2 linked regions of the Saccharomyces cerevisiae S288C genome follow. The protein of the gene in region 1 purifies or fractionates together with the protein of each later gene. This does not show direct contact. Each region holds a gene or a part of one and is shown on either strand. Other genes may lie near its edges. The genes, in order: HAP1 and SRO9.

Evidence for each region.
Region 2: the proteins of HAP1 (region 1) and SRO9 purify together in Saccharomyces cerevisiae (affinity purification with western blotting; 2 studies listed by BioGRID). This does not show direct contact.

What each region holds. Positions count from the first base shown.
Region 1 is NC_001144.5:639,293-658,358, forward strand, and holds HAP1 (Hap1p), read left to right. Parts: upstream 1-7,122; coding exon 7,123-11,631; downstream 11,632-19,066. Other genes in the region: YEF3 (translation elongation factor EF-3), read left to right, coding at 1-622; nucleobindin SSP120, read left to right, coding at 1,025-1,729; SYM1 (ethanol metabolism protein), read left to right, coding at 2,172-2,765; CQD2 (Cqd2p), read left to right, coding at 3,335-5,044; NDL1 (Ndl1p), read right to left, coding at 5,112-5,681; YLR255C (uncharacterized protein), read right to left, coding at 6,308-6,661; YLR256W-A (gag protein), read left to right, coding at 11,825-13,147. UniProt on the Saccharomyces cerevisiae protein: Regulation of oxygen dependent gene expression. It modulates the expression of Iso-1 (CYP1) and Iso-2 (CYP3) cytochrome c.
Region 2 is NC_001135.5:50,024-61,136, reverse strand, and holds SRO9 (Sro9p), read left to right. Parts: upstream 1-2,458; coding exon 2,459-3,763; downstream 3,764-11,113. Other genes in the region: dithiol glutaredoxin GRX1, read left to right, coding at 1-296; GFD2 (Gfd2p), read right to left, coding at 411-2,111; ATG22 (Atg22p), read left to right, coding at 4,610-6,196; glucose-induced degradation complex subunit GID7, read right to left, coding at 6,255-8,492; GLK1 (glucokinase), read right to left, coding at 8,797-10,299; YCL042W (uncharacterized protein), read right to left, coding at 10,194-10,553; protein disulfide isomerase PDI1, read left to right, coding at 10,916-11,113. UniProt on the Saccharomyces cerevisiae protein: May overlap in function with tropomyosin and may be involved in organization of actin filaments. Acts as a multicopy suppressor of RHO3 mutation. RNA-binding protein which may modulate mRNA translation.

The sequences.
Region 1 (19,066 bases):
TTGGATTCCAAGAGGTGAATTGGTTGAATCTCACTCTAAGATGGTTGCTGAAGTTGATATGAAGGAAGCTTTGGCTTCTGGTCAATTCCGTCCATTAACCAGAAAAGAAATTGAAGAACATTGTTCCATGTTGGGTTTGGACCCAGAAATTGTTTCTCACTCCAGAATTAGAGGTTTGTCTGGTGGTCAAAAGGTTAAGTTGGTCTTAGCTGCCGGTACATGGCAAAGACCTCACTTGATTGTCTTAGATGAACCTACCAACTATCTGGACAGAGATTCTTTGGGTGCTTTGTCTAAGGCTTTGAAGGAATTTGAAGGTGGTGTTATTATCATTACTCACTCTGCTGAATTCACAAAGAACTTGACTGAAGAAGTCTGGGCCGTCAAGGACGGTAGAATGACTCCATCTGGTCACAACTGGGTTAGTGGTCAAGGTGCTGGTCCAAGAATCGAAAAGAAGGAAGACGAAGAAGATAAATTCGATGCTATGGGTAACAAGATTGCCGGTGGTAAGAAGAAGAAGAAGTTGTCTTCTGCGGAATTGAGAAAGAAGAAGAAGGAAAGAATGAAGAAGAAGAAGGAATTGGGTGATGCTTACGTTTCTTCTGACGAAGAATTCTAATCTTTTTGATCACTGCTTTCACAGTTTTCTTTAAGATTTTTATTGATCAATAATTTATGTATATTTTAATTTCTATGTTTTTGTAATATTGTTTATTTTGGTAAAATATAGACGCAACTTCCTTATTATAAAGAAAGGCATTATTTAAAAGAAAAAGCGTTCCATTAGTCAGACATCTTTTTTTTTCATACATTCTTAAGCTCAGGCAAATTGAGCATTGCCTCATACCCTTTTCGGTAAGAGGGTAACGAAAATATTTTTTTGGAAGAATAAAAATAGGTGACGGATCATAGACTAGGAAGCTTTAAAACATGATTGAGCGTAATATTATATTCCTTCTAGAAAAGATAAAAGAGCCAAGACCTAAAATTTTTTCATCCCTGTTCTATTAAAATTGTGGAAATGAGGTTTTTGAGGGGATTTGTATTTTCTTTGGCTTTCACTCTATATAAAGTAACTGCCACGGCAGAAATAGGATCTGAAATTAATGTGGAAAATGAGGCACCACCTGATGGTTTATCCTGGGAGGAGTGGCATATGGACCATGAGCATCAGCTAAAAGATTACACTCCAGAGACTTTCTTCGCGTTACATGATATCAAGAAGAAAGGATTTTTAGATGAAAACGATATTCTATCTCTCTACGGGTTGAACCGTGAAGAAATTGTGGGGGCTGGTGATGGTATGGGACAACACGATGAATCTGAGAAAATTGACAATGAAATGGCTAAGCGTGTTGTTAGCCTTATTATGAGGTTATTGGATGTTGATGATAATACCAAAATCACCAAGGAGGAATATCTACAATTTGCTAAGAGAGGAAACAAGTTCCCTGACCTTGGCGTTGGTGTAGGTCACCACTCCGATTTTGAGCTAGAATATGAAATTCATCACTGGAATAAGTTTCATAAGGACAAAGATCCAGACGTTAAAGTCGTTCACAAAGAAGACATAGAACATGAATTGCTTCATCATGAACATGAAATTGAACATGAAGAAGAAATTCAAAGAGGCGCTTCTAGAGCTACTGTAATAACTGATGACGAACTAGAGTCTAGAATAGAGCTGAAAAATATTCCCGAGAAATTCAAAAATGGAATTTTTTAATGGACTTGGTCAAGATGAATAGTTGAGACTGAGAAAATATTCAAGACACTATGTATGTAGTCAATTAGCATGTAGTAAGTAATCAAAGCACTTAAAATATATTTTTACCATCGCATCGTTGTGATGCCTCTCCTTTGTGATTAACTATCTACTTTAAACGTTCTATTTTCTATGTTCTAATTACGTATGTATTGGTCTTTTCTCTCCGATGGTAACAAGAAGCGTTTCGGGAAACAGTGGCACCTCCTTGTCCCTTAAATGTCGAACTTTAACAGTATAAGTACAAAGTGAAAAAAAAAAAAAAATGGAAATATCTATGATAGTGATATGATAGAAGAGCTATTTGAATGCTATGTTGTCATATTTAGCCTTACAAAAGGGAAAAGGCAAACACAGTCTTTTGTTATTACTATAGGAAAGATAGAATTGATATTAAAACAGTATGAAGTTATTGCATTTATATGAAGCGAGCTTGAAGAGAAGGCCCAAAACTACGAATGCGATAATGACAGGTGCGCTATTTGGAATTGGTGATGTTTCTGCTCAATTGTTGTTTCCAACATCCAAAGTAAACAAGGGTTATGATTATAAAAGGACAGCTAGGGCTGTCATCTATGGTTCTTTAATTTTCTCCTTTATAGGTGACAAGTGGTACAAGATCTTGAACAACAAGATTTATATGCGTAACAGACCTCAGTACCACTGGTCTAATATGGTTTTACGGGTAGCTGTCGATCAATTGGCGTTTGCGCCGCTAGGTTTGCCATTTTATTTCACCTGTATGTCCATCATGGAAGGTAGATCATTTGACGTAGCTAAGTTGAAAATAAAAGAGCAATGGTGGCCTACACTTTTGACTAATTGGGCAGTTTGGCCACTTTTCCAAGCGATTAACTTTTCTGTTGTTCCTTTACAACATAGGTTACTAGCTGTTAATGTCGTTGCAATATTTTGGAACACTTACTTATCTTATAAAAACTCAAAGGTTATGGAGAAAGACAAGGTACCTGTTCATTATCCACCCGTGGTCGAATAACTGGATAAGAAATCCTGATTTTGAAAATATTTGGAATTCAACTAGCATATTTATCAGACCTTGTTCCTTGGGGTACTGGAACAGCATATACCTAATAGACTTTCGGCAGAGAGCAGACCAACTTCATAAATATTTGAGTCACCAAAGTTGGCTAGCAATCTGCTTTTCCTTTACAGATGTGCTTGGTCAGGAACAATTTATTTAATTACATTCGTACTTCTTTTATAGAGGAAATAGTAGCTAACATTTCACTATTGCGGTCATGCCTGTTGTTCTTCAGCTACCGTTTATGCAAAGGTGTTTAATTAGGTGTGAGACTTAAGTGGGCCTTTTAGTACCACTGTGGGTTCTGGACCTTTATATAATATTTCATTTTTTCAAAGGTTTTTTCATATGCCGTTAAAAGAGGTCAAAACATAGACCCGAGGAACATATCTTGTAAATCGCTGCGTTATGTATGCATATTGTACTCCTACCTTCGTAACTGGAAAGAATCAGTCTGAAAGTTTATTGAGCCTGAAACGGAGCAAGATTATAGTTGAATGTTTCTTATTCGGTGTTGATAGTAGATGATGACCAAAGCTTTTTTTAACAAACTACCGTTTGAGGTATTCCGTCGGTACGTTAGGACAGGTAAAAGCATCCCTCAAAGAAGCCCCAGGACAAGAAAATCTCTTCTGGTGGGTGGGACTATTGCATCAGCAGTAGTTTTGTACAACTTTAATGACACTTTTCATGATTCTGTAAAGCACACGGCACTGACGACTAAAAGAATCGCTGTCGTCACACAAGCTACCACTCGTTGCTTCTACCATTACAAGAGGGCTCTAAATAAAAGCTATGAGAACAAAAAAGAACGAGAAGTTGCCTTAAATAAATGTCATAAGATGTGTGCCTTAATCACGTTGCATGCGCTACGATCGAATGGTGGGATATATATCAAATTAGGCCAGCACATTGGGGCCATGACCTACCTGTTGCCTAAAGAATGGACGGATACAATGATACCGTTGCAAGACCACTGTCCCGAATCCACCTACGAAGAAATTGATGAGTTATTTAAAGAAGATCTAGGCACCAGCATTGAGGATATGTTTTTAGAATTCAACAAAACCCCGATAGGTGTAGCTTCCTTGGCACAGGTTCATGTGGCAAAACTAAAAAATAGTGACGGTAAAGGTTCTAGTGTAGCTGTCAAATGTCAGCATCCATCGTTGAAGGAGTTTATACCATTAGATGTTATGCTGACAAGAACAGTGTTTGAACTGCTGGATGTCTTCTTCCCTGATTATCCGTTAACGTGGCTTGGTGATGAGCTTCAGTCTTCAATCTACGTGGAACTGAATTTTACCAAAGAAGCTGAAAATGCAGAAAAAACCCGTCATTATTTTAGTAAGTTCAAGAAGCAAACAGCATTGAAAATACCCAAGGTCATTGAAAGCCACAAAAGAATTTTGATTATGGAATATGTTGGAGGCAAAAGGTTGGATGATTTGGAGTACATTGACAGTCACGGTATCTCGCGCAGTGAAGTTTCGAGTTGTCTCTCTCATATTTTCAATAACATGATTTTTACTCCCAATGTAGGTATTCATTGTGATCCTCATGGAGGAAATCTGGCCATACGATCTGTTAAGCCCGCTAAAGATAATGGATACCATAACTTTGAAATTGTTTTATTTGACCACGGACTCTATAGATATCCTAGCACGAGAACAAGAAGACTTTATGCCAAATTTTGGTTGTCGCTCCTATTCGACAAGGACCAGACAAAAATGAAGAAGTATGCCAAAGGATTCGCAAACATCACCGACGAACAGTTTCCCCTTTTAGCGGCTGCAATTACGGGCCGTAGCATTGATGCTGCTTTGAATTACGACATTTCAACGAGTCGAACACAAGAAGAAATGGACGTCATGGCAAATGGGATCTTGGAAGGAACGTTACTGAGCGACTTGATGAGCATTTTGTCTAGAATCCCTCGTGTAGTGCTTTTGATATTGAAGACTAACGACCTAACCAGACATCTTGATGAATGTCTACAGAATCCACTCGGGCCAGAGAGGACTTTCCTGATCATGACGCAATACTGCGCCAAGACGGTCTACGACGAAAAAGTGGAAAGAATTAATTCGGAGTATGCGAGGTGGTCTATTAAATGGATGTGGGAGAACTTGACAAACTGGATAGTCTATGAGAGGCGTATTAATCAATTGTATTTTTATGATTTTGTGTTGTGGTGGAAAAAATTTATTCCGAAGACTTGGTTGTCATCTTAAATCGTTAGCGTTCTTTCTACTTGTAAATATATACGTAAAATTATATATAACAATTTTATATGTGTCATTAAACGGAAGACGTTGTTGCTATCACAGTGGATTGTGTTATTTGGGTATTTGGAATATTACAGTGACTTCTTGCAGCGTTGTTAGTTTTTGCCATGTTCTGCAAGTACAAGGTTGAAGATGTGGTCGAGACTTTGATAGTATCCTTAAACAACTTCATTTTTTTATTTTGACTGGGTAACGACCTGGTGTTCCTTCTAGTCTCACCGCTAGTGGCTTCTTCTTTGCTGACTCTTAACTTTTGCAGCGCCTCTTTGGTGTCGAGTAACTCGTGTTCCAGTAGAACGTTGCGTTCCAGTCGTCGGTCACTCTCCAATTGTAATGTCTCTATCTTATTCCTCAGTTGGATATTTTCATTTTCCAACTCATCTACCTGTATCTCTAAATCTGTTATCTGTTTCTTATTGCACTTATTTTGTTGTTGGCTCTCAAGAAGATCGCTTTTTAACTTTGATATTACTTGTTCCAAATCATTTTCATATTCTTTCGTGGCGCCTTCAAGCTCGCTCAACTGGGTCTCCAGTGAGGAGATTATCTGTATAGCTGTTTCCAAATCCAAATTCGGCACCATAGGAAAGTCGCAATTGTTGCACGTATATGTCCCTTGGATATTCCAATTAAATTTGCGAGGATTGTTCTTTCGGCCGTTCGTGGTTTGTTGTAGCCCTTATTATCCCTCTTTTTCATCCTTAATTGCAAATTTATGTATGAAAACTTTCATTTCTAATGTTATTAATTTTCCCGATTCTGCAAACTAATTGATAAAATAATTGATACTTGCCGTCACAGATGATATAGAGAACGTTCAGTTTTTTTATTGTTCTATTGTAAAAAAAAAAAAAAAAGGAAGAAAAAAGCAAGATCCGATAGGAGAAGACCTCTTTAGCGGCTTTACTGCGCTACAAATAAGGTTACGAATATGCGGAATAGTTCATGATACGTTGTTGAGTTATAGTATGTAGCCAATATTTCCTGTTTTTCCGCTGTTACCCTTTTCGAAGGATCGATGAACGCTTCTGTCACTTAGTAAGCAAATGTACGAAACCCAGAGCATTGTATGTACACCAGCAGTCGTTTTTTGTAGCTCTTTTCCATGGATGGACGATGATGGCAAGACGCGATCGTGGCGGAGCCTCACTAAGAAAAACAATTGTGGAGAATCTATACACACAGAAATCGTACTTCAAGAAATATTGATTAGCGAGCCTTTAAGCACAGAACAATCTCTATAGCCAACATCTTGTGGAAGCTACAACTGTTTTTCTTGTTCCCGCTTGAGTAGGGCCTTACAAGGCAAGACCGTATAAAATAAAGATAACTCCTCCGCCGTATCCTGAATTTCGTGTGCCCTTTCTCTCTCTCTCTCTTCCTCTTTCTTCCTTTCCCTTTCCCTCTTCTTCTTATCTCAACAACCGCCCAGCGCATTAGCAAACCACAGTACGAGCTGTACGGCTGAGCCACTGCACCTGTCTGGCTTGCCCCTTTTTGTTGAGTAACCGGGTAATAATTCGGCTGTCTAAACGATACAATCCTCGTTCCACCCACACCCATTCACCCGTCGGGCGAAATCCACCCTCGCGGCCTCGTTTAGAATACCAGGCAACGGCACCAGCAACGGCCCCGGTAACTCGATCGCGTTCATATATATCGGATATACTCTTGAGGCACAATTTTTTTCGGTTTTCGGTTTTTTCTATTATTCTTCGAGATGCAAAGCACACATTTGAGACTCACAACTCAAGATACCGCAAGCACACAGACGCTATTGTTCTCCCAAAGAATAGGTTCCTGCAGTGCTCTTTTAAGGTTTGAAGATATTGCACAAAATTGTATCTGATTTCATCTCATCGAACCTCATTCCATCAACTTCCTTTTATCAAAGCATCTTGTTTTGTTTTCGCAGAAAATTTTTCTTCCCTTTCAATTTGGCCTTTTAGTTTTTCTCCAGTCGCAGGCAAGAAGGTAAGGAAATAGAAGAAAAAGAAAAAAAAAAAAAGGGAACAATAGGTTAGATGTCGAATACCCCTTATAATTCATCTGTGCCTTCCATTGCATCCATGACCCAGTCTTCGGTCTCAAGAAGTCCTAACATGCATACAGCAACTACGCCCGGTGCCAACACCAGCTCTAACTCTCCACCCTTGCACATGTCTTCAGATTCGTCCAAGATCAAGAGGAAGCGTAACAGAATTCCGCTCAGTTGCACCATTTGTCGGAAAAGGAAAGTCAAATGTGACAAACTCAGACCACACTGCCAGCAGTGCACTAAAACTGGGGTAGCCCATCTCTGCCACTACATGGAACAGACCTGGGCAGAAGAGGCAGAGAAAGAATTGCTGAAGGACAACGAATTAAAGAAGCTTAGGGAGCGCGTAAAATCTTTAGAAAAGACTCTTTCTAAGGTGCACTCTTCTCCTTCGTCTAACTCCTTGAAAAGTTACAACACTCCCGAGAGCAGCAACCTGTTTATGGGTAGCGATGAACACACCACCCTTGTTAATGCAAATACAGGCTCTGCTTCCTCTGCCTCGCATATGCATCAGCAACAACAGCAACAGCAGCAACAGGAACAACAACAAGACTTTTCCAGAAGTGCGAACGCCAACGCGAATTCCTCGTCCCTTTCTATCTCAAATAAATATGACAACGATGAGCTGGACTTAACTAAGGACTTTGATCTTTTGCATATCAAAAGTAACGGAACCATCCACTTAGGTGCCACCCACTGGTTGTCTATCATGAAAGGTGACCCGTACCTAAAACTTTTGTGGGGTCATATCTTCGCTATGAGGGAAAAGTTAAATGAATGGTACTACCAAAAAAATTCGTACTCTAAGCTGAAGTCAAGCAAATGTCCCATCAATCACGCGCAAGCGCCGCCTTCTGCCGCTGCCGCCGCTACCAGAAAATGTCCTGTTGATCACTCCGCGTTTTCGTCTGGCATGGTGGCCCCAAAGGAGGAGACTCCTCTTCCTAGGAAATGTCCAGTTGACCACACCATGTTCTCTTCGGGAATGATTCCTCCCAGAGAGGACACTTCGTCCCAGAAGAGGTGTCCCGTTGACCACACCATGTATTCCGCAGGAATGATGCCGCCCAAGGACGAGACACCTTCCCCATTTTCCACTAAAGCTATGATAGACCATAACAAGCATACAATGAATCCGCCTCAGTCAAAATGTCCTGTGGACCATAGAAACTATATGAAGGATTATCCCTCTGACATGGCAAATTCTTCTTCGAACCCGGCAAGTCGTTGCCCCATTGACCATTCAAGCATGAAAAATACAGCGGCCTTACCAGCTTCAACGCACAATACCATCCCACACCACCAACCACAGTCCGGATCTCATGCTCGTTCGCATCCCGCACAAAGCAGGAAACATGATTCCTACATGACAGAATCTGAAGTCCTCGCAACACTTTGTGAGATGTTGCCACCAAAGCGCGTCATCGCATTATTCATCGAGAAATTCTTCAAACATTTATACCCTGCCATTCCAATCTTAGATGAACAGAATTTCAAAAATCACGTGAATCAAATGCTTTCGTTGTCTTCGATGAATCCCACAGTTAACAACTTTGGTATGAGCATGCCATCTTCATCTACACTAGAGAACCAACCCATAACACAAATCAATCTTCCAAAACTTTCCGATTCTTGTAACTTAGGTATTCTGATAATAATCTTGAGATTGACATGGCTATCCATACCTTCTAATTCCTGCGAAGTCGACCTGGGAGAAGAAAGTGGCTCATTTTTAGTGCCCAACGAATCTAGCAATATGTCTGCATCTGCATTGACCTCGATGGCTAAAGAAGAATCACTTCTGCTAAAGCATGAGACACCGGTCGAGGCACTGGAGCTATGTCAAAAATACTTGATTAAATTCGATGAACTTTCTAGTATTTCCAATAACAACGTTAATTTAACCACGGTGCAGTTTGCCATTTTTTACAACTTCTATATGAAAAGTGCCTCTAATGATTTGACTACCTTGACAAATACCAACAACACTGGCATGGCCAATCCTGGTCACGATTCCGAGTCTCACCAGATCCTATTGTCCAATATTACTCAAATGGCCTTTAGTTGTGGGTTACACAGAGACCCTGATAATTTTCCTCAATTAAACGCTACCATTCCAGCAACCAGCCAGGACGTGTCTAACAACGGGAGCAAAAAGGCAAACCCTAGCACCAATCCAACTTTGAATAACAACATGTCTGCTGCCACTACCAACAGCAGTAGCAGATCTGGCAGTGCTGATTCAAGAAGTGGTTCTAACCCTGTGAACAAGAAGGAAAATCAGGTTAGTATCGAAAGATTTAAACACACTTGGAGGAAAATTTGGTATTACATTGTTAGCATGGATGTTAACCAATCTCTTTCCCTGGGGAGCCCTCGACTACTAAGAAATCTGAGGGATTTCAGCGATACAAAGCTACCAAGTGCGTCAAGGATTGATTATGTTCGCGATATCAAAGAGTTAATCATTGTGAAGAATTTTACTCTTTTTTTCCAAATTGATTTGTGTATTATTGCTGTATTAAATCACATTTTGAATGTTTCTTTAGCAAGAAGCGTGAGAAAATTTGAACTGGATTCATTGATTAATTTATTGAAAAATCTGACCTATGGTACTGAGAATGTCAATGATGTAGTGAGCTCCTTGATCAACAAAGGGTTATTACCAACTTCGGAAGGTGGTTCTGTAGATTCAAATAATGATGAAATTTACGGTCTACCGAAACTACCCGATATTCTAAACCATGGTCAACATAACCAAAACTTGTATGCTGATGGAAGAAATACTTCTAGTAGTGATATAGATAAGAAATTGGACCTTCCTCACGAATCTACAACGAGAGCTCTATTCTTTTCCAAGCATATGACAATTAGAATGTTGCTGTACTTATTGAACTACATTTTGTTTACTCATTATGAACCAATGGGCAGTGAAGATCCTGGTACTAATATCCTAGCTAAGGAGTACGCTCAAGAGGCATTAAATTTTGCCATGGATGGCTACAGAAACTGCATGATTTTCTTCAACAATATCAGAAACACCAATTCACTATTCGATTACATGAATGTTATCTTGTCTTACCCTTGTTTGGACATTGGACATCGTTCTTTACAATTTATCGTTTGTTTGATCCTGAGAGCTAAATGTGGCCCATTGACTGGTATGCGTGAATCATCGATCATTACTAATGGTACATCAAGTGGATTTAATAGTTCGGTAGAAGATGAGGACGTCAAAGTTAAACAAGAATCTTCTGATGAATTGAAAAAAGACGATTTCATGAAAGATGTAAATTTGGATTCAGGCGATTCATTAGCAGAGATTCTAATGTCAAGAATGCTGCTATTTCAAAAACTAACAAAACAACTATCAAAGAAGTACAACTACGCTATTCGTATGAACAAATCCACTGGATTCTTTGTCTCTTTACTAGATACACCTTCAAAGAAATCAGACTCGAAATCGGGTGGTAGTTCATTCATGTTGGGTAATTGGAAACATCCAAAGGTTTCAAACATGAGCGGATTTCTTGCTGGTGACAAAGACCAATTACAGAAATGCCCCGTGTACCAAGATGCGCTGGGGTTTGTTAGTCCAACCGGTGCTAATGAAGGTTCTGCTCCGATGCAAGGCATGTCCTTACAGGGCTCTACTGCTAGGATGGGAGGGACCCAGTTGCCACCAATTAGATCATACAAACCTATCACGTACACAAGTAGTAATCTACGTCGTATGAATGAAACGGGTGAGGCAGAAGCTAAGAGAAGAAGATTTAATGATGGCTATATTGATAATAATAGTAACAACGATATACCTAGAGGAATCAGCCCAAAACCTTCAAATGGGCTATCATCGGTGCAGCCACTATTATCGTCATTTTCCATGAACCAGCTAAACGGGGGTACCATTCCAACGGTTCCATCGTTAACCAACATTACTTCACAAATGGGAGCTTTACCATCTTTAGATAGGATCACCACTAATCAAATAAATTTGCCAGACCCATCTAGAGATGAAGCATTTGACAACTCCATCAAGCAAATGACGCCTATGACAAGTGCATTCATGAATGCTAATACTACAATTCCAAGTTCAACTTTAAACGGGAATATGAACATGAATGGAGCTGGAACTGCGAATACAGATACAAGTGCCAACGGCAGTGCTTTATCGACACTGACAAGCCCACAAGGCTCAGACTTAGCATCCAATTCTGCTACACAGTATAAACCTGACTTAGAAGACTTTTTGATGCAAAATTCTAACTTTAATGGGCTAATGATAAATCCTTCCAGTCTGGTAGAAGTTGTTGGTGGATACAACGATCCTAATAACCTTGGAAGAAATGACGCGGTTGATTTTCTACCCGTTGATAATGTTGAAATTGATGGTGTTGGAATAAAAATCAACTATCATCTACTAACTAGTATTTACGTTACTAGTATATTATCATATACGGTGTTAGAAGATGACGCAAATGATGAGAAATAGTCATCTAAATTAGTGGAAGCTGAAACGCAAGGATTGATAATGTAATAGGATCAATGAATATTAACATATAAAACGATGATAATAATATTTATAGAATTGTGTAGAATTGCAGATTCCCTTTTATGGATTCCTAAATCCTCGAGGAGAACTTCTAGTATATTCTGTATACCTAATATTATAGCCTTTATCAACAATGGAATCCCAACAATTATCTCAACACCCACACATTTCTCATGGTAGCGCCTGTGCTTCGGTTACTTCTAAGGAAGTCCACACAAATCAAGATCCGTTAGACGTTTCAGCTTCCAAAACAGAAGAATGTGAGAAGGCTTCCACTAAGGCTAACTCTCAACAGACAACAACACCTGCTTCATCAGCTGTTCCAGAGAACCCCCATCATGCCTCTCCTCAACCTGCTTCAGTACCACCTCCACAGAATGGGCCGTACCCACAGCAGTGCATGATGACCCAAAACCAAGCCAATCCATCTGGTTGGTCATTTTACGGACACCCATCTATGATTCCGTATACACCTTATCAAATGTCGCCTATGTACTTTCCACCTGGGCCACAATCACAGTTTCCGCAGTATCCATCATCAGTTGGAACGCCTCTGAGCACTCCATCACCTGAGTCAGGTAATACATTTACTGATTCATCCTCAGCGGACTCTGATATGACATCCACTAAAAAATATGTCAGACCACCACCAATGTTAACCTCACCTAATGACTTTCCAAATTGGGTTAAAACATACATCAAATTTTTACAAAACTCGAATCTCGGTGGTATTATTCCGACAGTAAACGGAAAACCCGTACGTCAGATCACTGATGATGAACTCACCTTCTTGTATAACACTTTTCAAATATTTGCTCCCTCTCAATTCCTACCTACCTGGGTCAAAGACATCCTATCCGTTGATTATACGGATATCATGAAAATTCTTTCCAAAAGTATTGAAAAAATGCAATCTGATACCCAAGAGGCAAACGACATTGTGACCCTGGCAAATTTGCAATATAATGGCAGTACACCTGCAGATGCATTTGAAACAAAAGTCACAAACATTATCGACAGACTGAACAATAATGGCATTCATATCAATAACAAGGTCGCATGCCAATTAATTATGAGAGGTCTATCTGGCGAATATAAATTTTTACGCTACACACGTCATCGACATCTAAATATGACAGTCGCTGAACTGTTCTTAGATATCCATGCTATTTATGAAGAACAACAGGGATCGAGAAACAGCAAACCTAATTACAGGAGAAATCTGAGTGATGAGAAGAATGATTCTCGCAGCTATACGAATACAACCAAACCCAAAGTTATAGCTCGGAATCCTCAAAAAACAAATAATTCGAAATCGAAAACAGCCAGGGCTCACAATGTATCCACATCTAATAACTCTCCCAGCACGGACAACGATTCCATCAGTAAATCAACTACTGAACCGATTCAATTGAACAATAAGCACGACCTTCACCTTAGGCCAGGAACTTACTGAATCTACGGTAAATCACACTAATCATTCTGATGATGAACTCCCTGGACACCTCCTTCTCGATTCAGGAGCATCACGAACCCTTATAAGATCTGCTCACCACATACACTCAGCATCATCTAATCCTGACATAAACGTAGTTGATGCTCAAAAAAGAAATATACCAATTAACGCTATTGGTGACCTACAATTTCACTTCCAGGACAACACCAAAACATCAATAAAGGTATTGCACACTCCTAACATAGCCTATGACTTACTCAGTTTGAATGAATTGGCTGCAGTAGATATCACAGCATGCTTTACCAAAAACGTCTTAGAACGGTCTGACGGCACTGTACTTGCACCTATCGTAAAATATGGAGACTTTTACTGGGTATCTAAAAAGTACTTGCTTCCATCAAATATCTCCGTACCCACCATCAATAATGTCCATACAAGTGAAAGTACACGCAAATATCCTTATCCTTTCATTCATCGAATGCTTGCGCATGCCAATGCACAGACAATTCGATACTCACTTAAAAATAACACCATCACGTATTTTAACGAATCAGATGTCGACTGGTCTAGTGCTATTGACTATCAATGTCCTGATTGTTTAATCGGCAAAAGCACCAAACACAGACATATCAAAGGTTCACGACTAAAATACCAAAATTCATACGAACCCTTTCAATACCTACATACTGACATATTTGGTCCAGTTCACAACCTACCAAATAGTGCACCATCCTATTTCATCTCATTTACTGATGAGACAACAAAATTCCGTTGGGTTTATCCATTACACGACCGTCGCGAGGACTCTATCCTCGATGTTTTTACTACGATACTAGCTTTTATTAAAAACCAGTTTCAGGCCAGTGTCTTAGTTATACAAATGGACCGTGGTTCTGAGTATACTAACAGAACTCTCCATAAATTCCTTGAAAAAAAAATGGTATAACTCCATGCTATACAACCACAGCGGATTCCCGAGCACATGGAGTCGCTGAACGGCTAAACCGTACCTTATTAGATGACTGCCGTACTCAACTGCAATGTAGTGGTTTACCGAACCATTTATGGTTCTCTGCAATCGAATTTTCTACTATTGTGAGAAATTCACTAGCTTCACCTAAAAGCAAAAAATCTGCAAGACAACATGCTGGCTTGGCAGGACTTGATATCAGTACTTTGTTACCTTTCGGTCAACCTGTTATCGTCAATGATCACAACCCTAACTCCAAAATACATCCTCGTGGCATCCCAGGCTACGCTCTACATCCGTCTCGAAACTCTTATGGATATATCATCTATCTTCCGTCCTTAAAGAAGACAGTAGATACAACTAACTATGTTATTCTTCAGGGCAAGGAATCCAGATTAGATCAATTCAATTACGACGCACTCACTTTCGATGAAGACTTAAACCGTTTAACTGCTTCATATCATTCGTTCATTGCGTCAAATGAGATCCAAGAATCCAATGATCTTAACATAGAATCTGACCATGACTTCCAATCCGACATTGAACTACATCCTGAGCAACCGAGAAATGTCCTTTCAAAAGCTGTGAGTCCAACCGATTCCACACCTCCGTCAACTCATACTGAAGATTCGAAACGTGTTTCTAAAACCAATATTCGCGCACCCAGAGAAGTTGACCCCAACATATCTGAATCTAATATTCTTCCATCAAAGAAGAGATCTAGCACCCCCCAAATTTCCAATATCGAGAGTACCGGTTCGGGTGGTATGCATAAATTAAATGTTCCTTTACTTGCTCCCATGTCCCAATCTAACACACATGAGTCGTCGCACGCCAGTAAATCTAAAGATTTCAGACACTCAGACTCGTACAGTGAAAATGAGACTAATCATACAAACGTACCAATATCCAGTACGGGTGGTACCAACAACAAAACTGTTCCGCAGATAAGTGACCAAGAGACTGAGAAAAGGATTATACACCGTTCACCTTCAATCGATGCTTCTCCACCGGAAAATAATTCATCGCACAATATTGTTCCTATCAAAACGCCAACTACTGTTTCTGAACAGAATACCGAGGAATCTATCATCGCTGATCTCCCACTCCCTGATCTACCTCCAGAATCTCCTACCGAATTCCCTGACCCATTTAAAGAACTCCCACCGATAAATTCTCGTCAAACTAATTCCAGTTTGGGTGGTATTGGTGACTCTAATGCCTATACTACTATCAACAGTAAGAAAAGATCATTAGAAGATAATGAAACTGAAATTAAGGTATCACGAGACACATGGAATACTAAGAATATGCGTAGTTTAGAACCTCCGAGATCGAAGAAACGAATTCACCTGATTGCAGCTGTAAAAGCAGTAAAATCAATCAAACCAATACGGACAACCTTACGATACGATGAGGCAATCACCTATAATAAAGATATTAAAGAAAAAGAAAAATATATCGAGGCATACCACAAAGAAGTCAATCAACTGTTGAAGATGAAAACTTGGGACACTGACGAATATTATGACAGAAAAGAAATAGACCCTAAAAGAGTAATAAACTCAATGTTTATCTTCAACAAGAAACGTGACGGTACTCATAAAGCTAGATTTGTTGCAAGAGGTGATATTCAGCATCCTGACACTTACGACTCAGGCATGCAATCCAATACCGTACATCACTATGCATTAATGACATCCCTGTCACTTGCATTAGACAATAACTACTATATTACACAATTAGACATATCTTCGGCATATTTGTATGCAGACATCAAAGAAGAATTATACATAAGACCTCCACCACATTTAGGAATGAATGATAAGTTGATACGTTTGAAGAAATCACTTTATGGATTGAAACAAAGTGGAGCGAACTGGTACGAAACTATCAAATCATACCTGATACAACAATGTGGTATGGAAGAAGTTCGTGGATGGTCATGCGTATTTAAAAACAGTCAAGTGACAATTTGTTTATTCGTAGATGATATGGTATTGTTTAGCAAAAATCTAAATTCAAACAAAAGAATTATAGAGAAGCTTAAGATGCAATACGACACCAAGATTATAAATCTAGGCGAAAGTGATGAGGAAATTCAATATGACATACTTGGCTTAGAAATCAAATATCAAAGAGGTAAATACATGAAATTAGGTATGGAAAACTCATTAACTGAGAAAATACCCAAATTAAACGTACCTTTGAATCCAAAAGGAAGAAAACTTAGCGCTCCAGGTCAACCAGGTCTTTATATAGACCAGGATGAACTAGAAATAGATGAAGATGAATACAAAGAGAAGGTACATGAAATGCAAAAGTTGATTGGTCTAGCTTCATATGTTGGATATAAATTTAGATTTGACTTACTATACTACATCAACACACTTGCTCAACATATACTATTCCCCTCTAGGCAAGTTTTAGACATGACATATGAGTTAATACAATTCATGTGGGACACTAGAGATAAACAATTAATATGGCACAAAAACAAACCTACCAAGCCAGATAATAAACTAGTCGCAATAAGCGATGCTTCATATGGTAACCAACCATATTACAAGTCACAAATTGGTAACATTTTCCTACTCAACGGAAAAGTGATTGGAGGAAAGTCGACAAAGGCTTCGTTAACATGCACTTCAACTACAGAAGCAGAAATACACGCAGTCAGTGAAGCTATACCGCTATTGAATAACCTCAGTCACCTTGTGCAAGAACTTAACAAGAAACCAATTATTAAAGGCTTACTTACTGATAGTAGATCAACGATCAGTATAATTAAGTCTACAAATGAAGAGAAATTTAGAAACAGATTTTTTGGCACAAAGGCAATGAGACTTAGAGATGAAGTATCAGGTAATAATTTATACGTATACTACATCGAGACCAAGAAGAACATTGCTGATGTGATGACAAAACCTCTTCCGATAAAAACATTTAAACTATTAACAAACAAATGGATTCATTAGATCTATTACATTATGGGTGGTATGTTGGAATAAAAATCAACTATCATCTACTAACTAGTATTTACGTTACTAGTATATTATCATATACGGTGTTAGAAGATGACGCAAATGATGAGAAATAGTCATCTAAATTAGTGGAAGCTGAAACGCAAGGATTGATAATGTAATAGGATCAATGAATATTAACATATAAAACGATGATAATAATATTTATAGAATTGTGTAGAATTGCAGATTCCCTTTTATGGATTCCTAAATCCTCGAGGAGAACTTCTAGTATATTCTGTATACCTAATATTATAGCCTTTATCAACAATGGAATCCCAACAATTATCTAATTACCCACAAATTTCTCAGATGGACTAGTAGATTTTTATAGAGCAGATTTTCCAATATGGGAGTGATGCGGTTTGTTTATGTATAAATAGAAAGGGACATATTTTTATTATTATTATTTTAGTTATTTAGCATGTATGTTATTTTATCGGTGAATTGTAATGATCGAATAATAATTGGAGGTTGAAGAAGTTGCAAAAAATATTTACTTGGACGAGTCCGGAATCGAACCGGAGACCTCTCCCATGCTAAGGGAGCGCGCTACCGACTACGCCACACGCCCAATTTTCTTGTTGTCTGTTGTGTTTCAGAATGGGGTACGTCAGTATGATAATAATCATCCTAAACGTTCTTAAATTACATATGAAACAACCTTATAGCAAAACGAACAGAATGAGCAACATGAGATGAAACTCCGCCTCCTTAACTGAACTTTCCAAACGTATAAACGCCTGAAAAATTAGTTTAGATCCGAGATTCCGCGCTTCCACCATCAAGTATGATCCATATTTTATATAATATATAAGATAAGTAACATTCCGTAAGCTGATAATCCCTTTTGGCAACTCGTTACTTCCCAAAGACTGTTTATATTAGGATTGTCAAGGGACCCCGGTATTGCTCGAGCCCGTAATACAACAGTTGTCTTTCACTGCTCTCTATGTTTTGAGACCTCCAGTTCACCACATATATTCGATCTTTTTCTTACTGTTGAAGCAAGAATCTGTTGGAATGAAGGCCTAGTATTGTCTATTGACTAATATTCATCTTACTAGTATATTATCATATACAGTGTAAGAAGATGGCATAAAGATTGAGAACCAGTCATCAGACTAATGAAAGCTGAAATGCAAGGACTGATAATGTAATGGGATAATGAAATATATAAAACGGAAGGAGAAATAACCGTGATATTATTATGTAGATTTACCGACTCCACTTGGAGGATTTCTCTATTCTCGAGGGAAACTTGGTATATTCGTACACCTAATATTATAGCTCTTGATAACAATGAAATTTCAACAATTATTCACTCAACCCTCAAGTGTATATCGCCAAGATCCTAATCACCCCTCTCTGGTGGCCTTCCCTCATTGTTTTTACACAGAACAAGAATCCATAAAATCAAGATATTGGGAACAATTCATTGTCTTAGGAACAAGTTTTTATAATTTAGTTTCATTAGCCTATTGTAACTTCTTGTTTTTTTTTTTTATTTTGGCTGGCAAAACAAGAAGTATAAAGAAGTTACCACTGCTATAACGTATATCTTAAATCAAGTGGGCAATTCTTCGAATAAACTTAGAGGCGCTGAAGAAAGAACCGCTCAATTAGTTCGATCATACAAAATACAGATATTGCGCTGTGTATTATCATTACGGAAAGTGTGATATAAACAATGCTGTGTTGTATTCGGTCTTTTTTTTCCGCCTGGAGATTGTCGTTTTTGTTTTTTTTTCTCGTGTAGCTGCAGTTATCATCGTTTTGCATGTCTGTTCTGTCGGTGAAGCCGATCTCATGGCACTTCGCTTTGATACCGTAAAGAATCTTCTTCATTAATACGGCACTGCAAGGCGATATCTATCTCTGGGGTTAGGACTGATAAATAGGTACTTATCAGTTATCACTAGAGAC
Region 2 (11,113 bases), on another chromosome or scaffold:
TTATTGCAGAAAACGAGATCTTCGTCGCATCCAAAACGTACTGTCCATACTGCCATGCAGCCCTAAACACGCTTTTTGAAAAGTTAAAGGTTCCCAGGTCCAAAGTTCTGGTTTTGCAATTGAATGACATGAAGGAAGGCGCAGACATTCAGGCTGCGTTATATGAGATTAATGGCCAAAGAACCGTGCCAAACATCTATATTAATGGTAAACATATTGGAGGCAACGACGACTTGCAGGAATTGAGGGAGACTGGTGAATTGGAGGAATTGTTAGAACCTATTCTTGCAAATTAAGGGCAGACAAAGTTTTTTCCATGCACACAGGTTTATAATGAGCTTATATATATGTATATGTATATGTATACAAGCATGTGTTTGTATTTACAGGAAAAAAATCGATGAATATATTTAGTGTGTCGGAAGAGTGCTTGTGAAGGCGTCTTTAGCAGTTCCGAAATACGTTAACCCACCGAATTCCGTTTGGCAGACTCTTTCCTTCCTACTGCTCTTGACGCCCTTGCGGTACGTCCGATTTTTGACTGCCTCCTCGATGGAGATGGCATACGACATGGGCACCACTTTAGGCTCTCGTACGTCTCGTTCTCCCCAAACTTTTACTTGGCCCATTACTTTAAGAACATCGTCCATGCCGCTTATTTTCCTGAAATTAACATCGCAAAACTTCATGAACAAATGCAGGGTATAGTAGGCATCGTTACCGGCATTGTGTAGAAACGCATGCGGTATCTCGAACAACCGCAGAATCTTGCCCAGACTGCTGCCCTTTTCGCCATACGATTTCCTGTAAAACTGCTCAGTGTCCAAGATGAACACGTCTAGATCACCGGGAGTTTCAGCCAAAAGCAGCGTATGGTCCAGATGGCCTTCATACCCTCTGCCAGGGAATTTGACACCAATAGTCTCCAGCCACTTAAGATCCCCGCTCACGTGATGACCAACAAATGCCCTTGACCATGTCTTGTCTTCTTCGGTCACCGGGACCAAGTAATAGTTTATTAGTGATTGAATGAAATGCACGCACTCTTTCAAGCTCAAAACATAGCTTTCTCCCAATAAGTAGCAATCCTTGTAGTCACAGACCCATTTTTGGTTTCTAAGTTCCAGGGACTCCTCGATAATTAGGTGGTAATTCTTTGTAATTGGAACCATTGACGGCACCATATTTTCCCTGGGGTCATAAATTGAAATCCCAATTTCGGTGATTACGTTCTGGTTTGTTTCGAAAGCCTCTATATCAAGACAAAAGCATATTGCTCTCTGAGAGGCCATCAGCCTGATGCATTTCTCCAGATAAGCAAATTCATTCGAGCGTGAATGTGCTTCCACCATGGGCCAGAACGTCTTCCTCACGCTGTTTTTCTCGTCAGCCAGTAGTTTCTGTTCTGTCTCTAGGAGCTTGATGGTACCATTCATTCCTAACATTTTCTTCTGAATGGCTTCGAACCAAGCGGTGTCGCTCATTCCTTTGGGCTGCGGACAGATACAGTTGGCTCGGTCCTCTTTGGTCAATGGAGACAGCCGCTGTGATCTTTTGGACCTGGGTGGTACGATCGTGTCGCTTAATCTTTTCAAAAACCGGCGTTCTTCCACGAGTTTTTCCAGTTTTGCATGCACATCACCATGTACCATATGCCATTCACTGTCCACCTGCGCCAGTTTGGCTTCCAATTGCGCCCTGGATTGTCCATAGGAGGCATCAAACTTCTGCCTCATCTCCGCCACATATGCATCGATCATGGGCTTCCTTAGTTGGTCCAATTCCTTAGAAAACGCGGTCTTTCTCAACTGTACATAGTAATCTATCTGGTCCAGCCAATTGCACTTAGCACGGTCCCAGGGCGTATTCAATTGGGTCCTGGCATCCAGAAACGCCTCCACACAGCCCGCGATCTTGCCGCTTCCTGTTCGGTCCTTCACTAATCCTCTGACAGAGAGCGTCCCATTACTTAGTTTTGTTGCCAAAGCACCGGTATTACCGCTTCTGGAACGATAACGGGGGCCTGCGCCGTTATTATTCCTCCTCTCCCAATGGACGCTTTTATCGCTACCGTTATTACTGTTATCTCTCACCATTTTTTGAACCTGCATGTGGATCTGGACTCTCGAGCAAGACCCAAGTTCTCATTGCCTCCTTTCCTTCTTCCCTTCTTATATGTTGTCTTGTTGAACCTCAAAACACTAGCGGATAATACGGATTTTGAGGGATGCTCATCGCAAATTTTTCAGAAATGGTGCACGGATGTACCCACGCAATGAAAAATTTTTTTCACTTCTGGTAGGTCAAGAACAAAGAAAGAAAAGTACAAGTGTAAACATTTCTTAACATCTTTTTCGGTTTTATGAAGATCTTTTGGGATCCTAGATCGGTAATAGAACATCAGGATTACTCTGGACCTGCTAACGTGTTTCATCTTCTTTTCACTTCTCTGCCCACGATGTCTGCTGAAACCGCCGCCGCAAACACTGCTACTGCCCCAGTCCCAGAAGTGCAAGAACAAGAGAGCTCCAAGAGCAAGCAAGTCAACTTGACGCCGGCACCATTGCCCACATCTTCCCCATGGAAACTTGCTCCTACTGAGATCCCTGTTTCTACTATCTCAATAGAAGACTTGGATGCCACAAGAAAGAAGAAGAACAGAACACCCACTCCGAAATCATCGACTGCTACCAAGTGGGTTCCCATCAAGGCCTCCATTACCGTCTCTGGCACCAAAAGATCCGGTTCCAAGAATGGTGCAAGTAATGGCAACAGCAACAAGAGCAAAAACAACAAAACTGCAGCATCGTCGACATCGTCGAGTAATGCTAACAGGAAAAAGAAGCATCACCAACATAATGCTAAGAAGCAACAACAAATGAAGAAAGATGGCTTTGAATCGGCAGTAGGTGAGGAAGATTCAAAAGACGCTACCTCTCAAGAAAATGGTCAATCTACACAACAGCAACAACCACCTCACCACCGTAATCATCACCACAGTCATCACCATAACAGCAATGGTCCTCAAAGGAGAAAGTTCCACAACAGTAATAACGCCGGTATGCCTCAGAACCAAGGCTTCCCACCACAGTTTAAACCTTACCAAGGACGCAACGCTCGTAATAACAACAACAACCGCTCTAAATACCACAACCACTTCCATCACAACCAACAACATCCTCAACAACCTATGGTCAAATTACAGCAACAGTTTTATCCAGTCCAACCAGTGTTAATGGCCATCAACAACATTGCTAGACAAATTGAATACTATTTCAGCGAAGAAAACTTGACCGTCGACAATTACTTAAGGTCCAAACTCTCCAAGGATGGTTTTGCTCCATTGTCTTTAATCTCTAAGTTTTACAGAGTTGTTAACATGTCCTTCGGAGGTGACACTAACCTGATTTTAGCCGCATTGAGAGAAATTGTCGCTAACGAAGCCGCTACCGTCAATGTTGCAGAAGGTACTTTGGCCGCCAAGGAAGGTGATAACGTTACCGGTGAAGCCAAAGAACCATCTCCATTGGATAAGTACTTCGTTCGTTCCAAGAGCTGGTCAAACTGGTTACCAGAAACTTTTGAAACTGAAATTAATATTGAAAAAGAACTGGTCGGCGATGCATTGGACCAATTCATGATATCCCTACCACCTGTTCCTCAACAAGAAGAGGAATCATCCACTGAACTCGCTTCTCAAGAACAAGAAACCAAAGAAGACTCTGCGCCGGTTGCTGCCGGTGAATCCGAGTCTTCCTTATAAAGGCCTCTCACACTTGCAAAATAAAAAATGGATTCGTTCATTGCATTTTACACAAAAAACCATAAAAAATTGAAAAACCTAATAATTAAAAAAATTAAAAGTTAATCATCCTCCAGCAAAGCTGTTTTTTTTTTGTTTTTTTTTTTTTTTTTGTTTTTTTATCCATTTTTTTCATTTGTTCCATCAGTTTAATACGAAAGAGAAAATAAAAATAAAAACTTTGAACAATTTTCATGTTTTGAATTCATTGTACATTATCATCATAAGCAATAAGATACAAATATTTATGTTTTTTTTTTTTTGTTTTTTTTTTTTTTTAAGATATAAAAATACTAGCCTCTTCTCACTTCGTTTTCTCTCTGTCTAAGTGGCTACCATCATGAGATATGATATTCTTTCTTCTCCCTGCGCAATTCTTAAACCACCTGCTTTTTTTATTCAATTTTTTGCTAATTTAATAATTGGGAAGAAGATATGAAAAATGCCTATTTTACTCTAAGCAATTCATATGTAAAAAATTTTATGTATAGTTTTTTTTTTCTCTTTTGTGCTGTCAAATTCCTTTTTATTGTCATCTAAGACCATGCTTTAGCTTCTGTCATGTATAATGCAACGTGTCTTAGATTATTAATTGTTGTATTGTGCGGCATTGATAGCGCCGCTCAACAATTTTAGGAAATTGCTAAAATTAATTCCTTAAAACGGTATTTTCCTAAACGAAAATACCTCAGCTATTGAAAGATGCGTAGTGTAAACAAAAGGAAAGATTTCAAACTGTACCTATATTACCACGGTTTTTGCCCTTATAAGCAATAGTTTGCTCATAACATATTCTCTACATTAGATATGAGCTATGGAACTATAAATGATATGAATGAATCGGTAACGAACTATCGAATAAAAAAAGCCCAAAACAATATCAAGGGATGGTACGCTTACTCATTTTCTAGCGAACCATTTGTCGTTTCTGCGGTTTCAACGTATATTCCCTTACTACTGCAGCAATTTGCGAGTATAAATGGTGTAAAAGTTCACGATCACTCCATACCCTGCCTGTCAGAAACGGGTAGTGATTCAGATAAGTGTGTTCTTGGTTTGTTCAACAATCGGATCTTCGTAGATACTTCAAGTTTTGCATTATATGTCTTTTCCCTTAGCGTTTTATTCCAAACTATAATAGTCATTTCCGTTTCAGGGATAGTAGATCTCTGGGGGAGCGTTAAATTCAAAGGCAGAATTCTGGTTTGGTTTGGTATTGTGGGCGCATTGTCGACTGTTGCGATTTCAAAATTGAATGATACCCAGATTTATTCTCTGGCTGGGCTTTATATAGTGGCCAATGGTTGTTTTGGCGTTATCAATGTTGTTGGGAATTCTCTTCTGCCCATTTTTGTCAAGGATTCTTTGAAATGTCAAAGTCAAGGAGCTTATGAACCTGATAAGGTAGACTCGTTAACTACTGTTATTAGCGGTAGAGGTGCATCTTTAGGTTATTCAAGTGCCCTCATTGTTCAGATTGTATCTATGTTCTTAGTCGCATCTAAAAAGGGCAGTAAGCAGGATGTTCAAGTGGCTGTTCTTTTCGTTGGGATTTGGTGGTTTGTGTGGCAACTGCCCATGATCTGGTTGATTGACGATGTGACAATACCGATAAGAGTTGACGATTCTACATTAGCATCCGCCCGCAGTCCGTATCCCGGTGAGCAAGACGCCTTGGGTCAACTAAACTGGAAGAATTACCTTTCATATGGTTGGGTTTCGCTTTTCGAATCGTTTAAACATGCCAGACTATTGAAAGATGTGATGATTTTTCTTATTGCGTGGTTTATTATTAGTGATTCCATTACAACTATAAATTCTACAGCGGTTTTGTTCTCCAAGGCAGAACTGCACATGAGTACCCTCAATTTAATCATGATAAGTGTTTTGACCGTTGTAAATGCAATGCTGGGTGCCTTTATGATTCCACAATTTCTTGCCACAAAGTTTCGGTGGACTTCTAGTCAAACTTTGATGTACATTATCATTTGGGCAAGTTTCATACCATTTTATGGTATTCTTGGATTTTTCTTCAATGCGTTCGGTTTAAAGCATAAGTTTGAAATGTTCTTATTGGCCATTTGGTATGGATTATCACTAGGTGGCCTGTCCGCGGTTTCAAGATCAGTTTTCAGTTTGATTGTACCTCCAGGAAAAGAATCCACGTTTTTTAGTATGTTCAGTATCACAGATAAGGGGTCGTCCATCCTGGGACCCTTCCTTGTTGGACTGCTTACCGATAAAACGCATAATATTCGCTATTCGTTTTATTTCTTCTTTTTGCTTTTGATGCTATCATTGCCTGTGCTAAACTGTTTGGATGTCAAGAGAGGTAGAAGAGAGGCTGAAGAACTCAGTCAAGTTTTACCTGAAAGTGAAAGAAGGTTGGATTAGTTCTTTTTTTTTTTTTGTTACATAAAACTTTGCTTACGTATATATATAAGGTGGAGTATTAATTTCTTGAAATTTTCCAGATTTTTATCTTACCGTCATCACCGCCAGAAGCAAACATTTCTTTATCTGCAGGGTTTGATGCAACTACGTTACAATTTTTCCCCATGGGTTTTGTGGAATTACTCATTACCGTGGAATGACCGGATAAAACAGATACTAGGTTACCTCTAATTCTATCCCAAATGTAAATTTTACCATCTTCTGATCCGCTCATGACAAGCTTATTACCGTAGGCGAAGCAAGATCTGATAATAAAGTGCTGTTGCTTCTGTCCAAAGTACTTTTGTATGAGAATATTTTCTTTATAGTCCCACATTTGTAATTCGTTATCTTGAAGGCTAACTAATACCAAATGTTGAGACTCGGATATTTGTTGCCTATGGAAGCCTTGATGCGTGGTATTTAGCGGTAATGAGATACAAGTCATGTTTTTGCCCACGTCCAATCTTGCGATCCTTGGAATCAGAAAGTTTTTGGGATCCACTGTTTGCTTAGATAGCTCCTCTTTGGAGGGGAACCCACTGAAATCGTAGACATCTATAACGCCCTGGTGGGTCATTAAAAGCACGTATTTATCGTCATAGCTGATTTTCACGTCGTGCACACGTGGAAAGGTTTCGTCGTCCTCCACATATTGCCAGTTACCATTGCTACTTGTTGGTTTGTAAAGGACTTTTGCAGGATCGATTGATTTTCTCCCAGAGATGTTTTCATCGTGGCCCAACGCGATACAAGTCCTGCCTTTTAAGCTAAAAAGTGACTCTTTCGTGGTGAGTGAGTGTACAATAGCTTCTCTGTCGGGCGATCCAACCACCATCCAGCCCGCACGTTCCGCAGTGTGGAAGGCATCGCAGCACCATACTCTTGATTGATTAGAATTCGCGTTTGCCGGCCTCGAGGAAGATGATGCTGATGATTCGGTATCATCTGGGTACGTGGTGGTGTCCAGTTTAAACGAGTCCATGGGCGAGAGCCTGGTAGAAGGGTATAGTAGGAACGAGTCTGTGGCAGACGCATCGGGCAGGGAGGTGGCATTCATGTCGTAAATGGTAACATCTTCGCTGAAAGGGCAAGCAACCAGATACCGGCTATCAGGAGAAAACATGAGGTACAATACGGATTGTGACAAGCTCACGCAAGTCTTATAAATTTTGAAGTCTTGTTCCACATCATAAACAGTAATGAAGTAGCCTCTTGAAGACTCGGAAGTCGCAGAAGCCAAATACTTGCCATTGGGCGAAAATGTCAAAAACCAAATTTCGTCTGTGGTGTCTTGGATAGTCTTCCATTCTTGAAAGGTCACAGTCAGATCGTGTGAGAAGTTATCCTGCAAAAGGTTGATCCGGTGGGGTGGAGAGGAGAAAGAGGCGTCATCATCCGGATCGATGATATTAAAAATGTCTTGTGATTGTTGATACTTGATGGCCTGTTTCAAGAGATGCAAGAGACGACCCTTGGGAACGAGTTCGTTCGGATCGATATATTTGGAGATGGCGTCAATCAGATGGTCTCGCTCGAGGTTCAACTGCGCGGTTAGTTTTGGGTTGGTCAGGTACGTCGACAGTTCTCTCAAGGTCGTTTCCGGATTGAAGATGTTTTCTTCATTTAGGAACTGATCGTTAGACACCAGCAGGGAATCCCATATCTCGATGAAGTTTTTGAGGATTTTGCGCAAATACAGGACGGGCAGTGCAGTGTGAGGGCCCTTGTGAGAGGCGGAATTTGTGACTGGATGGAAGAATTCGAGGAATATTTGTCTATTAACTAGAATCATGATCTCTACGTAATTTCTGAGCGTGGCGATCTCTGCGTCCGAACAAGTAGATGAATTTACAGAGCTCATCAGCTGTTGCAGGTATTGCAGTTGCAGGAGCATGTGGTCGAAAAGTGAAGTCGTGGCGGGCGTCGGCGTGGGAATGAGCAGCCTTTGAAGCCATTCGGACCTTAGCGGAGAGCTATGGGCAAGGGGCAGCGAGCAAACAATCTGCCAATTAATAAGATGGAATTGGCCGGTCTTGATGAGTTTGAAGAAAGTCTGGATGTGGTTAGACTCATTTTGATATCCGCCGCTCTCTAGCAGTAACTGGTTAGCGGCGGAGTCGTAGCCCAGCTCCTTTAGAGTATGTATCAGTAATTTAGTGAGCTGTTTCTTGTCAAAACAACCAACGGAAGAGGGCGAGGCTGTTTCCTCCGTGTCATTGTTCAACACGTATGCGATCTTATTAGTGTGTGACATTTTATTAGTTGAAGTAGTACGCCCCCTTGGAAGTGTTTTTCATATTTGACTTCCAAAAATGATAAAGGAAGACCTAGCAAGGCATTTATTGTTCTTCATTTTCCCTTAAAAACCAAAGGCCCGTTTCCGATGATATTGTTCATTAATGTGAGAAAATCATACATACATACATACGTTCTTATACGGTATTGTATAAGAATGTATGTATATACACTGAAAATATACATATATATATATATATATAAAGGAGAGAAGATGGTAAGTACGGTGGGATACGTACACAAACCAAAAAAATGTAAAAAGATCATGCTACAAGCGCACACAAGGCGGCACCCACTCCGGAACCATCCTTGGCAATCTTCAAGTGCACCTTCCTCTCACCCTCGGCACCCAAGGGTGACAAGGCTAAGGCGTGTCTCAGCATAGATCTGAAACCGGGGTAGTATTCCACAACGGAACCATCACAACCGATCTCGACTTCACCATGATATCTCTTGTTCAAAGCATTTGTCTTGATCAATATCGCGGCAAGCGGCACGGCGGCTAAATACGCAGATCTCCTAGAAATCGCGCGCACCAATTTTTGAATTTGAACACGCTCTGTTGGAGTGGTGGGCAGTCTGAGACTCTGTAATAATGACAACTCTGTTTCACGTAGACCTGTCGAGTCGTCAATTTCAATATGCGACAGCACTTCGGATGACAACTGGAAAGGTGTAGTCAAGTGGCGAGGAAGTTGTTCCTTGGACCTGTACTGTTGCAAAAGCAAGCCTTGCGAGTGCAAGTCCACTAAAATGTTACGCAACACCTCACCCAAGAACATCCCTGAGACACGTTTTTCAAACAAGTGAAATCCCGGGTTCGTTGACAGTTTCTGGTCAATTACGACGTCATACTTAGTAGTAGGCAAGTGCTTGAGCTCATTATCGAAGGACCCCCATTCGACATTGATGATCATGTGTGTCTTACCCTCCTTTATCAACTTGTCACGCAACTCCTGTGGCAACTTCGTGATCTTGTTGATCTCCTCCATATAGCACCCATTGGTACCGGTACCGAAAATACATCCGATGACCGGCTCCGAGATTTCTCCGGACGTCATTGAGTCCGTGTTATCGGACGTGTAGCAATGCGATAGGTACGTTCCGACGGTGTCGTTGGTTAATGCAACAACCTTGATCATAGGCATACCCTGAGCGCTTAATTGCTCCTGGTACAATTGCACGACATCCTTTCCGACGGTGTCCGCGATGCGGAAACCCTTGGTCCAACGGATCAATGTCCCGGAGTTTAGAGAGGTCTGGTCTACAGGGTATGAGAAAGTGAACCCCAGTTTCATGGGCTTGGCGTCTTTACCCTTGGCCAACTCGTCCGGGTGATACTTCTTCATAAAGGCCAGTGTACGACGTGCTAGAAACCCAAACAGGTCGTCAGATGTGACGTTCTCATCGTCTAGCAAATCATCGGGAATCTTGGACTTCATTTGCTCCATGGAGAAAGTATGATCTCCATGCAAGTTAACAGAACATATACGGAAATTGGTACCACCCAGGTCGGCGGCTAGTAAAACACCGCGCTCCGTCCCGTTGGGTGACCCGGTGACGAACGCCGGAATCATAGGAAGACCTTTGTCCGAGGCCAATGTGTGGCCTTCCTTTGGTGGAGCTAGACCTTTTTCCATTTGTTCGATGAAGTAAGCAGTTAATTCGTCCAGCTTCTCGGGGGTAACCTCGAAATCGTCGCAGATCTGGTCCACGGCCTGGATGACCGCTCTCTCAGTGGCTTTGTGTAAGTCGTCGAATGACATCTTGTGTATGATAGAGTTGTATTAGTGGTGGTGTTGTGGTTTACGGAAGCTGAGTTGGGCACTGATGGGGGGGTTGGGGGTTCTGTTGATAGCGGATATTTATATGGGCGCGTTTTCATTAGTGCCCACCGTTTGAGCGTGGTGTGACACCACGCCCAAGATAGGGGGCCCCCTGAAAGGGGTTGACCGTCCGTCGGCACACCACTTATAATGCGGGGTGCAAGCGCCGCGTCTAAAATTTTTTTTTTTTCCATTTTTGTCGTTATTGTTATTTCCCGTTTTTTGTTTTTTTTGATTTTTTCGGAGCGACAAACCTTTCGAAACACGTGTCCTGAAAATTATCCTGGGCTGCACGTGATAATATGTTACCCTGTCGGGCGGCGCCTCTTTTTCCCTTTTCTCTCACTAGTCTCTTTTTCCAATTTGCCACCGTGTAGCATTTTGTTGTGCTGTTACAACCACAACAAAACGAAAAACCCGTATGGACATACATATATATATATATATATATATATATTTTGTTACGCGTGCATTTTCTTGTTGCAAGCAGCATGTCTAATTGGTAATTTTAAAGCTGCCAAGCTCTACATAAAGAAAAACATACATCTATCCCGTTATGAAGTTTTCTGCTGGTGCCGTCCTGTCATGGTCCTCCCTGCTGCTCGCCTCCTCTGTTTTCGCCCAACAAGAGGCTGTGGCCCCTGAAGACTCCGCTGTCGTTAAGTTGGCCACCGACTCCTTCAATGAGTACATTCAGTCGCACGACTTGGTGCTTGCGGAGTTTTTTGCTCCATGGTGTGGCCACTGTAAGAAC